2 linked regions of the Rhinolophus ferrumequinum genome follow. The protein of the gene in region 2 interacts with the protein of the main gene of each other region in a biochemical or structural test. Links are inferred from orthologs where the notes say so. Each region holds a gene or a part of one and is shown on either strand. Other genes may lie near its edges.

Region 1 (7,306 bases), on a different chromosome or scaffold from region 2:
AAGAATTTGTTTAAAAAATAGAAAATCTCTAGTGTATCAACAAAAAAACTAAAACGTTTCTACTCTTAGTTGTTAAAATATGGTTCTACATTTTAAGTGAGGCTTCAGAATAAAATGTTTCTGCACCCATTCCCTTTCACCAATCGAGGCCCCTTCCATTCCTCCTCCTGCCCACCCCGCCCCCCCACCAAAAAAACCCCACCAAATGTCTATAAATGTGACATTTTACTTAATTTTTGAATTCTGAATACTGTACACACAAAACAGATTTGATTTCCAGTTGAAAAATAAGGTTACCTACCCCACCTCAGCAAAGTAGCACACACTAAAAGATTTGAGAAAGCGCAGGGCTTTTATGGTGAAAACCTTTATACAACTTAAGTGAGAGGATGCCAATACTCCTTTATTCACTCTGAAAGGTTCCTTTCTGACTCTGGACCTTGAGACAATGCTGTTCCCTCTGCCTAGAAAGCTCTTCCACCTACTTTTCCTTTTCTTTTAAGCTTAAATATGGTTTTCTGGGCCAACACACTGGACAGCCTTGAAGAAATAAGGTCCTAGGAACATTCTCAAGACCGAATCATGAAAAAATAGAATAGCTGAATGAACAGATTACTACTAAGATTGAATCCGTAATCAAAAACCTCCCAACACTCAAAAGTCCAGGACCAGATAGTTTCAGTGTGAATTCTACCAAACACTTAAAGAAAAAAAAATGATACTAATCCTTCTCAAACTCTTCCAAAAAAAAAAAAACCAGAGGAGGAAGGAATGCTTCCAAACTCATTTTACAAGGTCAGCATTACCCGGATACCAAAAGCAGACAAAGACACCACAAGAAAAGAAAATTACAGGCCAATATTATCTGATGAACATACACAAAAAAATTCTCAATGAAATATTAGCAAACCTAATTCAGGTTTGTAACCCAATGTGTTAAAAGGATCATACACCATGATCAAGTGGGACTTATTCCAGGGATGCAAAGATGGTTCAACATCCCCAAATCTGTGCATGTGATACACCTCATTAACAAAATGAAGGATAAAAAGCATATGATCATCTCTACAGACGCAGAAAAAAAGCATCTGAGCAAATTCGACATGTTTATCAGAAAAACTCTCAACAAAGTGGTTAAGGAGGGAACATGCCTGAACATAACAAAGGTCCTACACGACAAGCCTGCTGCTGACACCACACTCAATTGTGAAAAACTGAAAGCTTTTCCTTTAAGATCAGGAACAAGAAAAACGTACCCACTCTCACTACTTCTACTCAACATAGTATTGGAAATCCTAGCCAGAGCAATTAGGCAAGAAAAAGAAATAAAAGGCATCCAAATTAGAAAGAAAAGAAGTAAAACTGTTACTATATGCAGATGACATATTATATACAGAAAACCCTAAAGACCACCAAAAAACTGTTAGAATAAACAAATTCAGTCAAGTGGCAGGATACAAAGGCAATATACAAAAATCTGTTGTGTTTCTATACACAAACAATGTCAGAAAGAGAAATTAAGAAAACAATCTTAATCTTATTTACTCATTTACAATTGCATCAAAAAGGATAAAATACCTATGAATAAATTTAACAAAGCAGGTGAAAGACCTGTATAGAATAAGATTTTAATGAAACAAGTTGAAAAAGACACAAATAAATAGAAAGATAGTCCCTGTTCATGGATCGGAGGAGTTAATATTGTTAAAATGTCCGTATTACCCAAAGCAATCTACAGAGTCAATGCAATCCCTACCAAAATTCCGATGGCATTTTTCACAGAAATAGAGCAAATGAGCCTAAAATTTCCATGGAACCACAAAACACCCTGAGTAGCCAAAGCAACCTTGAGAAAGAATAAAGCTGGAGGCACCAGCTTCCTGATTCCACACTACATTACAATGTTACAATAATCTCCAAGCTAACAACCTCAGAATCCAGTTAGGGTCTGTCTTCTGGTCTCTATACTCAAGCATCTAAACGCCCCTGGAGAGTTCCACTCGGGGGTCCCACAAGCACCTTCAGCTCAAACTCAACTCGTTCTATGGCCTCTTAAACGTGTTTTCTCCTACACTGCCCGTATCTCAGTATATGGCATCTGTATCTCCTAGTCACCCAAGCTAGAAACCCAGACGGCCTCCTGGACCCTTCCTCATGCCACCTCTCTCCACCTGCACAGCCACTATTTAGTGCACATCTACCCTGGACACTGCAGCAGATTCCTTGCCTAAGTGGTTATTTCTTGGCCTACTCAACACCCACTTTCTTCTGAAAAAAACCTCTGCACTTTCCTTGGATAAAATCCAAACCTCTGAACACAGCTTAGCGGGCCCTTCAAGATCTGACTCTTGGGGTCTTCTCACCTCAGTGCCCCCAAAACTAAGCTCCAGACTTTCTCGGAGTTCTTTCCCAGTGCTTTGCTTAGAGTCCATTCTTTCTGACTAAATCATACCCAGTTGTCTCCCTCCTACTCTCAACCTTCAACTTGGAAACCTCCAGTCCCCATGGAGCCTTCCATAGATCCAAGCAGGGTTTGAGGGCCCTGCCAATTGCTCTCTCAGCCTATCCCACAGTATTGATCTCACCGCACTGTCCAAAGGTATTTTCTAGTTTGGTTCACACTTGACTGTGAGCTTCCTGGGGCAGGACTGAGCTTGCTTACGTAGCCAACAGGTAGCTCCCATGGGAGGCACCCAAATGAGTATTCTTGAACAAATGAGTTAACAGTGTAAAAAAATATATACCACGGGGCAAACTGAAAGTGTTTGTAGTGGTCCCCATCTTCCACAGAACAACATATTTTATTACATAAAAGCAGCTGATACGTTGAAATCACTTCTTTTATATAATTAGAAATGACATAATTTTCTTTGAAAACGTTGGTGGCAGCCAAATGTCTGGGGTGTCGGACGGCTGAGTCTTGCCTGGACAATAGCCTTCCATAGTTGCAGTCACCCAGCTCCCCGCCAGTCTTTTCCTTTGAGCAGTCAGGGATGCTTTCAAAACATACAGAAGATGCTATAACTTCCCTACCACGGCCTCCAAGGTCCTGCATCGAAGCTCTTCGTCCTACCCCACCCCCCCAAGTGCATCCCCATCCATGGTCCCCCTTCCCCCCTCCGCTTCAATACCCTGGCCTGGCCTTCTTTCTTGCAGTTCCTATAAACAAACGGCAAAGGGTATTCCAGCGTCAGAGGTTTTGTACTTTTGGTTCCCTCTGCCTGCAAAATCCCCCCCCCCCCCCCGATCTTGACATGGCCGGCTCCTCCGCATTCAGATGCCTACTCAACTGTCCCTTGCTCAGACACCTTTGCTGACACTATCCACAGTGGCCATCACGTCCGGGTCAAACTCCATCCCATTATTTCTGCTTGATATTTTTTGGACAGCCTCCCCCTCTGTCTGCTAATTGTGCGCTTTTCTGTCTCCCCGGTTAAAGTGAAAGGTCCACAGGGACAAGTCACCGCACTTACCTGGTTCACCAGAACAGTGCCCGACCCGTAACCACTTGCTAAAATGAAGAAACGCGCTCAGCAAACGGGTCCATCTCGCACGTCTTGCACTCTTTCCCCTTCACTCCCAGGAATCCGTGCGAACCGCTCTCCGCGTAGAAAAGCCCTTGAAACGTCCCCGCCATCCCCCCCAAACAGCCCTCTCTTCCACGTGAGGCGGGGGTACGCCCAGCCTGCTGGCTAACGGGCCTAAGGAATCCAAAGCCAAGCCAAGCATCCCGCCACCGAAAAGCGCCGAGGGGCGGCGGGACGAGGCGCCCCCTCTCTTCGCGTCCTGGCGACTGCCGCCTCCTCCACCTGGAACCCTCGGGCCGTTCTCTCAGTCGGCCGCACACACGCCTCCCCCGCCGCCGAGCTCAGGGGCAGCTCCCAGTTACCTGCCAGGGCTCCATGGCGCTCCAGCCACTCTGCCTTCGCATCGCCATTCGAACGAAGCCCGACCCCCTCCGGCCACCGTAGTTCACGCTGGCCCCGCCTCCCGCATGCGCAGAGGCCCTATTGAGCGTGCAGTGTCTCTTAGCAACCGCTTTGAGTCCCTCCGCCTGGGGCGGAGCATCGGAAGACACGGGGGGGAAGCCAACGGGGAAGTGAGGGAGGCCAATCGGAGATGAATCCCAGCCTCGATCGGCACGCCTCCTCTCACTGTCGCGAATGCGCAGGCGGCTTTACGGCAGGCAAGGGGTGGGGGCTGCCAGGGGGAAGGAGGAGAGAAGGAAGCAACCAACCAACCAAGTCGCCCCACCCCCCACCTCCACCCACCCCGGACCTGGTTTACGGCTCTAGGCTCAGGCTCTAGTGCGGCCGCTGATTGGCTGCTGAAGGCTTGGTCCATCCCAGTGACCCCAAAGTGCTGGAGGGAGGGGGCGGGGGTGGCCCAGTGCAAAGTGCATCCCGAAAGCCCCCTACCTGGATCCCCCGCGGCTGACACTTCGGACCCTTTACGACCCGGGACCTCGCTGCTCCGAGACCTCCCGTGTTACCCGGTAGCTGGGAGCCTCCGGCCCAGAGCGCGGCAGCCCCCTGCTCCGAGCCCTCAGACCCGGACTGCCCCCCCCCAACCCGAGCCGGGACTTCCTCCCTGCACCCCTGCCCCGAGGCTGCCCCGCGGCCAGGACTGCCTCTCCGCGTCTGCTCAGCTGTCTGGATGCTCGCGGGGTTGGGGCCGTGAGCCACCGAGGAGGGTCAGCAACACCCGTGTCCGGCCCTGCTTTGGGGTGCTTCTTCAATGGAGAAGTTGGTGCGTGTGGAGGAGGCTGAAAGGAAGAAGAGAAGCAGCAGCTGAGGAGACAGGTAAAGTCAGTTATGTTCCCCGAGGGGAAGGGGGCTGGCTGGGCGGGAGGAGAATCACTGCTTCTTCCTGCCTGCCTGTACCACTCTCTTCCTTTGCTCTCCCTTCCCCAAAGCCCCCTCCTCCCCGCCCCACGGGCACTGCACCACTCACAGGTTTCTGATTTCCAGGTTTGAGTTGGCTAGAGGAGTCCAGAGAGCAGGAGGAGGTCTGCCCACCCACCAGAGAAGTAGAAGAGAGCTTCTGACCATCATTCTCTATAAAGGTAACAAGCCAGCCCTGCCCTGCCCCGTTGTTTATTCTCGGCCCCTACCTCCTTAAGCAGCGCTCTGTTTTCAGGGTGGTTACCTGGGCATGCAACCCTTTCCTGGCCCCCAGTTTCTCAGCAAAAACAAAAACGCTGCCTTCGCCCTGATTCTTAACATTTTAGTAACTTCTCAACCCCCAAAACGTATTTTCTTCCTTTCTATTTGTATAGTGTTTCCGTGTTTTGCATTATCTTTTTGGTACACTGCACCATTTACCCTGCTCTGAGACTTTGAGACCTTTTTGTAGTTCCCCCCTTTACTCTCATAGGAATTCCTCAATTCCTTCTTAATTGCTTGTTAATTCTAAATGAGTCTGCTTTTTAATTAAATCCCAGTTTTCTGTTTTCCCCTTAATCCTTCCTGTCACCTTTCCTCTACCTCCATCAGAATATCTTTTGAGTTCCCTGACTGACAAGGGTTTGGGAGAGGAAGGTACAGTAATGACCTGAAATTTATGAGTTTTGGAAAATAATATGACTTTTTCGTAGTGGAAAGTGAATCTAATCCTATGAAAGCAGTAGTCTCCCTGAAGCACTTATGTGTAATTAACACTTCAGGCTTTTGTGTGTTTCAATGTGACAGATGTAGATGGGCGTTGAAACTGTTACAAAAAGATAAATAGTATGTTGCACCTCAGATTTTCTAGAAAAACTTACAAAACTTTACATAATATCTTGTTACTCATTTGACACTCAAGAATTTAAAAACAAAGGAATGTTTCAGTGTGTTTAGAACCTAAGGCTTTCTCTTTGCACTCTTCATAAATAAGATTTCTCATTTCAAAACCCTTACAGAGAATTTGTTAGATTGAAATGTAAGCATCTAATTCGTGTGATCACATTTCTACTACTATATGTTGTTGCTGCCTCTGAAAATACACTAAAGGTAAGTTTAGGACATTCGTGTAATTTCTAAAGAGGGGATATTAGGGAAATTATATGAGTTAATTCAGAAATTAGCCGAGTGAATGACTTCTAACATCCAGTAACATGAGTATAAAGTGACTTGTTAATCTCAGAGTTATTTTAATATCTCAGATTGTTTAGGGAATTTTAGGTACAAAGACGTACTTAAAATAGCAGAAGTTGTTAGGAAATCTTAGATTTACTCTGTTCCACTGGTCTTCCTGCCTTGCGTAAAAAGAAATTAACGTCTTCCATGATTCTTCTAATTGTCAAGACATAGTTAAAGATACTTTTAAGGGGCTCTGAGGGCTTGTATATTCTTGAGACCTGAAACCAGATAACCAAAGGAGAGTGTGTGCTACTGAAAGGGGTTGAAAATGAGTGTCTACCAATGGCTGTCCCACAGTGAATTATAGGCCAGCCTTGATAAGTGTATGTAGGGTCCACTTCATCTCAGTAAAAGCGAGGCTGAAGTCTATAAAGTTAAAGGCAATTTTCATTATTTAAGTATGTGACTCACCCAAATGCAGCCTAATGATTAGGCCTTTTAAAAAATGCTAAAATATTTGAAGTGTGTTTTGAAGGTAAAAGCGAAGTATGTAGTTTCTATTCAGTCCTTCTTTGTTAAATATTTTGTCTGCTTTAGATTTCCGTCTAGTATATTTTCCTGTCTGCGAGGTATCATCACCTGAGATGATAGGGAGTAGGTCTGTGGTGAGTCAAGCATATAAGGTAAAGAGAGTGTTCCCCCAGCCAGTTCATTCTCATTGCTTAAATGATATTTCATTGATTCTCTCAGCTTTTAATGCTTTTCCTGAGATTAGGGAATATATATCTAAGTTGTCAGCATCTGTTTCCAATATTAGCATGATTAAGAATAGCTGGTCTAGGTTATGCCAAACATTTAAAATATTTAATTTGGGTACTTATTTACCAACATGGCCAGTTAGGTGGTTTATGTTTTTCAACCTGGCACTTAACTTTGTGTTAATTCTATTGCCAGCCACATGGTATTGAAAGCCAAAAAAAAAAAAAAAAAATCAAACCACCTGATGAATTTGATAACCAAATATAGATTTATAATTACATAGGGAACATAACTGATTTTAATTGAAGATAGTCAGTGATGCATTTTGAATGTGCTATGGCCAATAATTATTTTCTTTATACCTAAAGTGACACGGTTCACAATTACTTACTATTAGGACACGAACAATATCTATTTTGTTACATTTAACTTTGGTAACACAGAAGTACATACTATCCCTAAAATGTCTAAAGTCAGATAAAGTT
Region 2 (7,976 bases):
AAAATTGAGAATGCATTCAATCCCAGAAGGCATTTACTTAAGCCTATCATTGCTAAACAGCAAATGAAAACCCTAAGGGATGCGTTAAAAGTACAGACTTCTCAGGAGAGCTGTCCCTGCCCGTTGGCTTGCAAAGACCGTCCTCTCACCATCCCCTCAAGTCCCCGTCAGAATGATGTTGGGTTAATGTTAGCCTTGTTACTGTTAACTGTCCTTTCACCTCTCTCCCAGCTGCTGCCCAGCAATGAAGCCGGGTAAGTAGAGAATTCATAGCACAGAACCCAGGGACCATGAAGAGGGGATGCCTCAGCACGTTGGATATGCTCTGGCTGTTTGCTGTTAGGGCCACAGTAAATTCTTTCTTTTCTGTGCCTCCAGGAAGCCTGACTGCGATGAGATTGAGCTCCAGCACAGCGTCTGGTTTGGACTGGTCTAAATAAATGTGTGGATTCTCAGTGCATAAGTGTCCATCTGTTTGAGCTTTTCCATATGGGAAAACCATTTAGGAAGTTGAAATTCTTTAGCCAGACTGTATGGAATCTTAGAACCCTCAGACTCCTCTTTCTCTTTCCATATCTACATTCTCTTCCACAAAGGTTTCTAACACTGTCTTGTCCCTAGATAATCATGACAGAGCTGAGTTCAACTCTATACAGTATGAGGTGCTGAAAGATGCTGAAGAAGACTTGCTCTCTTCCTCTCTGGGCTTTCCTGTAAAAGTTGCGTAACAGGATGCACATCTCTCACAGAGATCAGACAGCAGGACACACACACATATATACGTAGCTAATTAAGGACAGACCCCCCCCCAAGTCTTGAGGGCTGGGAGATACTGAAGAAATTGGAGCAGTCTCATTAAGCCCTCGAGAAAGAATTAAGCTGAGGTGCCCTTGCTTACGTTTGTTTTCATTCTTAAAACAAATAAGATACTGAAGGTATTCTGTGATGGAATCTGCAAAAGATAGCAACAATTCCTCCCATCCTAGTATGGGCATGGTACTCTTCCCACCAAGAGTTGGGGTCTATTTCTCCTCCTCTTGAATTGGGGCTGACCATGTGACCTGCTTTGACCAAAAGAATGTAGCGGAGGTGATGCTGGGCCCGTTCTGGGCTTAGACCTTAAGAGGTCAGGTTGTTTCTGCTTTTGCTTCTGGAAGTCAGCTCCCATATGAAGAATCTCGGGACAGATTACTGAATTATGAGAGGCCACATTATAGAGGACAACCAGGTATCCCAGCTGACAGCCAACACCACAGCTCTAGCTATGTGTGGCCACCTTGGACCCTTCATCCAAGCCTTATCTACTCCTTGTGGAGGGAAGACAAGTTGTCTCTGCAGAACCCTGCCCAAATTGTAAAATTATGAGCAGATAAATGGTTGCTGTGGTTTCACTGAATATCAGGGTGGTGTGTTACATGGTAATATATAACTGAAACAGCGCTCTATGCATCAGTCATTGAACTAAGTGCTTTGTCTCTTTTGATCTTCATTTTACAAATGAGTATGTTTAACCTTATAAATAGCTCCAAATATGCATCTGGTAAGTAGCAGAGCTAGGATTTGAAGCAGGTTTGTTTGACCTCAAGCATTCCCTATTTCCTCTCATCTCTCTTTTTTTTAAAGTATAATTTCCATTTTATTTTTCCCCCGAGAATATTTCTTCAGTCCTTAAGGACTTAGCTCCTTACATGGGCTTTGGTGGAGGTCGTGGGGCAGCACCCACAGGTCTAAATCGAGGTGGGGGTGTTCGGTCCTTCCGGGCTTCACAGGAACGATTCCTGACTACCTCGCTGTGAATGGCACAGCTCACACAGTAATGTAGTTTCACATACAGCTTGGGAAGCACATAGGCGTTGAAGACACTCGCTTCGGAAATGTCCCTAACAGCTGCTGCCTCTACCATGTTTCGAATGACGAACTTCTTAATGGCCTTGTACTTGGGCACGCATCGGGCACAGCTGGTGCAACGAATAGGCTGCACATGGTTGTGGCCCTTTTTGGCACTACCATTGTTTCTTCTTTTCTTGGTCATCTTGGAAGCGAGGACCCGAGAGAGGAGGCTCCTCTCATCTCTTTTACTCAGTGACTTCCACTGTAGTAGATATGGGCTTAAGAATGAAAAGATTTCCAGGATCCAGTAAATATTAGGCAAGATTTTGAGGAGGAAGGGGATGTGTTTGGGCTGAGAAGAGTGTAAAAGCCTTTTTTGTTCAGACTATTTTAAGGTCTATTTTAAGTTGAGGAAAAGTATCTTTTCTAGCCTTTCTCAACTGGAGTTCTATGAGAATTAAGACCCAATGTCCCAAGGCATCCACTGCATGTCATAAATTAACTTCTTCCTATGCATCTAGAATGTTACTAATTATGTACCATCCTTGGGAAACTTGAGAAAACAGTCACACAAATCATTTGTAGGGTCTAATGCACTTAAACCCTGCTGAGAATGTTAAGGGGTAGAGCAGAGTCCAGAGCCAACCAGCTCTCTCTACTCCTTCTAGCAGTACTCAGTCACTTTTTACATTTGACCCCTCACTTTATCTATGAAGCAAGGATTGTGACCATCAGTTTCATGGTTTGGATGATAATTATGACTATCAAGTACTCTCAGCTATGATGCCCTAAGCATCAGTTAGACCTCTGGCCTCAGCCCCCAGCCCCATGCCTCTGCTATTTGTTGAAGTACTCAATGACTATCCCTTAAAGTTCACCTATGCTCAACCTTCATGGTGAAGGAACAAAACCTTCTTTACACTGAACAAGACCCCTAATCACAGTTAATTCTTCTGCATTCAAGAAGACCTGCACTGGAATCCTTAATTTTTTTGATTTCTGTATTCATCACTTTGGAGTACCTTCTGAACTAAGGCCTACCATGTGCCTGGGCAGGAGTATAATTTCTTCATTAATTCACTTATTTATCATTTATCCAAAATCTTAAACACGTGTTCCTATGTATCATTTTGGGGTTGAGCTCCAGGGGATAAATATTTCCCAGATTAGTGGCCTTACACTGAGTGAAGAATTCTTGTACCTGAAATCTGTATTTTTCTGTCTTTGTTGTCATTTGGAAGAGAAAGTAGTTCTGCTTTTTTTTCCCCTGGTACTGCAACAGTTTTCAAAATCATAATTTGGCGATGGAAAAATGCAGATAAATTACCTTAGGAGAAACTAACTTCCCATTTGCCAAAACTGCTTCCCCCAATTACCTGAATATGGGTGAAGAAGTAAGTGCAGTTTCCCCACTCAAGCTGTTCCTAGGGAAAGAAAGAATGCAGTTAACTAACAAGTTCTTTCCCCCAGATCTCCACTTTGCCACTATTTGCCTGGAGAGGGAAGATACTGGCTCTGGTTTTCCCACCTCCATAGATCCTGAATCCTACAGGCAACTGAAATTTCACCTTCACTAGCAATCCTACGGAAAAAGAGGCAGTCCTCTTGTCTCAGCTCTTTCTCACATAAGCTTGCAAGTTCTGAGTCTCCCCACCCTTTCCCTTATCACCCCACTAAATTTCAAGGCTCCTTTGCTTCCAGTGGCGTTTATTACTGTAATATCTCACTCCTGCCAACCTCACTACCTCAACTTCACAGCTAAAAACGAGGAAGTAAACAAAAATGCCTATAAATGGCCCACAGATACTGGAGACTAGCGCTCAGGCTCTTTGTTTACAGGAAAGTTCTTCAGCCCATTTGTAGGACCTTTTTGATTTAATTTTTAGAACATTTCTAAACTCTGTTAACTGGTGACCCAGCCTATTCACAGGCAACACTTGGAAACAACAGAAAGAAAATCCCTAATAAGTGGGTTTATGTGTTTTACAAACACAGCTTTGAGTTTAGAGAGATAGCAAGTTACAAACACCCTCAAAAGCCCCTGACCTGCAGGGTATAAAACTTGATATTCGTAATTATCATCCAACCATGAAACTGACGGTCACGATCCTCGCTTCATAAATAAAGCGAGGGGTCAAATATAAAAATTGATTTGGGGTGGCCGGATGGCTCAGTTGGTTAGAGCACAGGTTCTCAACAACAAGGTTGCTGGTTCAATTCCCACATGGGATGGTACGCAGCCTCCTGCAACTAAGATTGAAACCTGCGACTGGACTTGGAGCTGAGCTGCGCCAACTAGACAGGACAACGACTTGGAGCTGATGGGCCCTGGAGAAACACACTGTTCCCCAACATTCCCCAATAAAATTTTTTTTAAATTTAAAATAAACAAATAAAAATTGATTCAAGCTTGCGTCACTTGTAAACGGAGGGGTCACGGTTGAATTTGAACCCCAATCTCCCTGTCTGAATCGCCCCGTCTGTAAAGACCGTTGTTTTCTTTACACCTTGGCTGCCTAAGGGTCTGAACGTTCTCTCCTAAAAAGCCATGGAAAACGTACTTCCTAGAGAACCTCGATATACCTAAAACATCAGTGTTTAGGTACTGCCGTAGCTTGGAAAAATCGCCACTGAGGAAATCTGGCAAACGCGGCGCTTGCATATGGAGTGAGTCTAAGGAAACGAATTTTCTCAGTCAGAGCGTTAGCTTTTGGGCCGACGGCAGCGAAAGGCATCAGGTGACCATGCCGGTCCCTGGGGCTACAAACCCCGGCTCCTCCTAGCAGTTCTGGGAGGGAGAGGAGAAGAAGGGATGACAGGGAGCGAAACCCACACTCATTGGCCAGCAAAGGCCTCCCGGGCACGCGCGCGCGCTCGCGACTCCCCCGCTTCAGCCCTTGGGTTGGAGTCTTTCTTGGAATGGCTAGCTCTCCAAACGGCCCCACCGGCGAACTTCCGGCCAGCGGCCCGCCGTCGCCCCGCCCTCTGGGGGGCGGGGGATGCTGGGATCCACCAATCACTGTGCAGAGGTGGTAGGAGTGGGTGGGGCGAAGAGATTCGAAAGGAGCCCCGCCCCCTCGGAGCTGATTCCCGGGACTGAGTTGTGCGGAGAAAGCACAGTTCACGGGAGGTGAGTGGGGGCGCGGAAAGTGAAAACTGAGGTTGAGCTGGAGGTGTGGCGTGGCTGTGGTGCTGCGGGGAGTGGAAAGGTGGCTTGGGGAGAGGAAGAACCCGGAGGATGGTGGCAGGGAGGAAAATAGGGCGCGCAGACCGCCCCCCAGTGAGGAGAGGCCGGGTCGCCTGGGGGACGGGAGGGCAATCTGCGGAGAGGATAGGAGTGCAGGGGGAGCTCTCCGCACCTTTCCGGGAGGTAACGGTAGTAACAGGGGCAGGTGCTGCTCCTAGGAAGCTTGCTTTATTTCCAGCATGACTCCCAACCCCCTGGCTTGCACCCTAGCTGAGAGCCTTGGGTAGGATGCAGATCTGAGGGAAGTATGTTTTCTCTCCAGTTCAGATCTAAGCTGACTCCTGCTCCTGCTGGCTGGAACATGGGAGATTTGCAGGAAGGTAAGGAAGCCCTGGAGGGAAAGCAGAGGCCCTGTGATGGAGAGCCATGTTAAGGACACAAGGCTGGCATTCATTCTTAACTCCCCTACAGATGTGAAGTTTATAGTGGATGAGACCTTGGACTTTGGAGGGCTGTCACCATCTGACAGGTACCACCAGCCTCTTTATCCTACTTACTTTCCTCCACCGATGGCTGTCTCTAGCCTCTTACTGGTGAATTTTTGGTCTCAAACCTGGGTCTCAAGGCTGGATGTGCTGGTGCTGCTGGGTGGCTGGTTCTCTTGGGCTTCTATGACACTACTCCTGGGCGAAGGGAGAAGCTGGACTGAGACTGCAGGGTGTTAAGAAAGAGGGGAAGTGGATTTGCTGCATCTTCATCCTGGCATAATTTCCAATGTCAGTAAATGCTAAAGGCTTATCAGACCTCACGGAACCCGGTCTCTCAAACCTAGAGGCCAGATCTCACAGCCAACATGGGCGTCAGGGTTTGGGGTTGTGTCTCTGGCTCTGCGCGGTTTTGCCCAGTCTCCCTTGTACAGTCTCCTGTTCTCTTCCATGGGGCACAGTGCCTGGTTTGTTTTCTGTCTCAGTCGTGAGGAGGAAGACATAGCAGTGTTGGTGACGTCAGAGAAACCCCTCCGACGCGGCCTCTCCCACCGAAGTGACCCAAATGCGGTGGCCCCCACCCCCCAGGGTCTGAGGTTCAGCTTAGGCCGCCTCAGCCCAGAGAAGCTGGAGGAGATTCTCGATGAGGCCAACAGGCTGGCAGCGCAGCTGGAGCAGTGTGCCCTGCAGGAGCAGGAGAGTACAGGCGCGGGCTCCGGGCCTCGAAGGGTGAAGCCTAGCCCTCGGCGGGAGACCTTTGTGCTGAAGGACAGTCCTGTCCGAGACCTGCTGCCCACTGTGAGCTCTTTGGCTCGGAGCACCCCCTCCCCAAGCAGCCTACCACCCCGACTGCGGAGCAGCGATAAGAAGGGGTCAGTCAGGGCTTTTCGGGCAACCTCTGGAAAGAGGCCCTCCAGCGTGAAGAGGGTGAGTTTGGAAGGTCTGGGCTGGATGTGTGCCCCCAGACACAGTGTGTGACTTGGTACAACCATGAAGTAGTTTCCTTGTTTGTCAAATGGAGATAGTAAAATTCTACCTCGTAGAATTATTGGAATTAAACGAAATACCATAAGCCATGCACTTACCACTGTGTGCATAGCTCTCTAATTCTGTAATAAGCTCTCAACAAATGGTACTAGTGATGATGATGATGTTGGCAGCTGACTTCTGCCATTCCTTACTGGGATCTAGGCAACTCTCCACCTCTATCCCTTAACCAGCCAGCAGAACAGATTCTTTTTCCATTCTAGTCGCTTTTTTTTTTCGTGTCTCTTTTTCTGTTTCAGGAGTCGCCCACTTGCAATCTGTTCCCCACATCCAAAAGCCCAGCATCTTCTCCTCTTTCCCGATCAACTCCTCCAATCCGGGGGAAAGCTGGGCCCCATGGGAGAGCAACAGCAAGTGAGAAGACCTGGGCAGCAAAGCTGTGGGTGAGTGGGAGTAGGGAGGATGTGGAACTTACCCTAAAATTCCTCTGTTGCTCTGCACCAGGCCCGCCTACCCCCGTGGTCAGACCAGTCTTGGCCCCACAGCCTTCTACCAGCAACTCTCAGCGCCCGTCTCGGCCACAGGGAGTAGCTGCTAAACCTTCCAGCCGACTGCCTGCTCCCTCGGCCATCCCCAGGCCTGCCAGCCAGGTGCCACTCACCAGCCGGAGTATACCACCCAGCAAAGGTGCCCTAGCTCCAGATTCTCTGTCAACTCGGAAAGGACTTCCAAGACCAAGCACCACAGGGCACAGAGGTGAGGAAGAATGGACAGTAAGGGTAAGAAGTCAGGAGGAAGAATACCTACTCTTGCCCACGTAAATCGTACCTCCCAGAGATGGTAACAATGACCACTTTCTCCATCTTCATTACAGCTCTATTTGAAGATGGCCAGACTGAGTTAAGGAGAGAATTTGGGCCTGGGCCAAGAGTTTTGAGTCTTGGTTTTCAAATACCGTGGGTGGGAGGAAAGGCAGTAATCCCAAACTCTGCCTTCATCCAGTATTTCTTTTGGGAAGGTCCCCTGAACTTGCTGCTAACTCGTTTCTTTTGCTAACTCCCATCAAGTTCCAGTTTCCCAGCGACCAAATCTTTCTGTCACTGGTACCACTCGCAGTAATCTGCAGCCCCCCAGGAAAGTTGCAGTTGCAGGACCTACCAGGTAAGACTGGTCGAGATGCTATCTCTTTCTCTACTGTCATCTGGGCTTCTGAGCTGTTATGTACAAGTCGTAGGTCAGTCCTGATTCCTGTGTGCCAAGCTGGGGACAAGGAGGGGAGCCTGGAGGGTCGGGGTGTCCCATGTCTTCCTACCCCAAGGAATTTGAACTCAGCCAGGTAACATATGGGCTTGAGGAAGAAGAGCAATAAAGCAGTTCCTCCTGTCTCTCTAGGTAAATAGATCAGGACAGCAAGCAAGAATTCAGTAGCAGACCACTACAGTCACTGCCTGGACTCACTCTACTCGGCCTCCCAAGCCCTCTCATTG

The links. The genes of interacting proteins can lie anywhere in the genome.
Region 1: of the proteins of PSRC1 (region 2) and ASB7, one has a biochemical effect on the other in vitro, tested with the Homo sapiens proteins (2 studies listed by BioGRID, with this or other methods). The link is inferred for Rhinolophus ferrumequinum from reciprocal best matches to the Homo sapiens genes PSRC1 and ASB7.

Annotation. Positions count from the first base shown.
Region 1 is NC_046311.1:12,376,262-12,383,567, forward strand, and holds the start of ASB7 (ankyrin repeat and SOCS box protein 7), read left to right. Parts: upstream 1-4,292; 5' UTR 4,293-4,802; intron 4,803-4,970; 5' UTR 4,971-5,065; intron 5,066-7,306. UniProt on the Homo sapiens protein: Probable substrate-recognition component of a SCF-like ECS (Elongin-Cullin-SOCS-box protein) E3 ubiquitin-protein ligase complex which mediates the ubiquitination and subsequent proteasomal degradation of target proteins.
Region 2 is NC_046305.1:41,505,386-41,513,361, reverse strand, and holds the start of PSRC1 (proline/serine-rich coiled-coil protein 1), read left to right. Parts: upstream 1-4,893; 5' UTR 4,894-4,960; intron 4,961-5,326; exon of another isoform or gene 5,327-5,339; 5' UTR 5,340-5,378; coding exon 5,379-5,397; intron 5,398-5,488; coding exon 5,489-5,546; intron 5,547-5,987; coding exon 5,988-6,429; intron 6,430-6,788; coding exon 6,789-6,903; intron 6,904-6,993; coding exon 6,994-7,245; intron 7,246-7,556; coding exon 7,557-7,650; coding exon of another isoform or gene 7,651-7,654; intron 7,655-7,881; coding exon of another isoform or gene 7,882-7,885; exon of another isoform or gene 7,886-7,976. Other genes in the region: 40S ribosomal protein S26-like, read right to left, coding at 1,685-2,032. UniProt on the Homo sapiens protein: Required for normal progression through mitosis. Required for normal congress of chromosomes at the metaphase plate, and for normal rate of chromosomal segregation during anaphase. Plays a role in the regulation of mitotic spindle dynamics.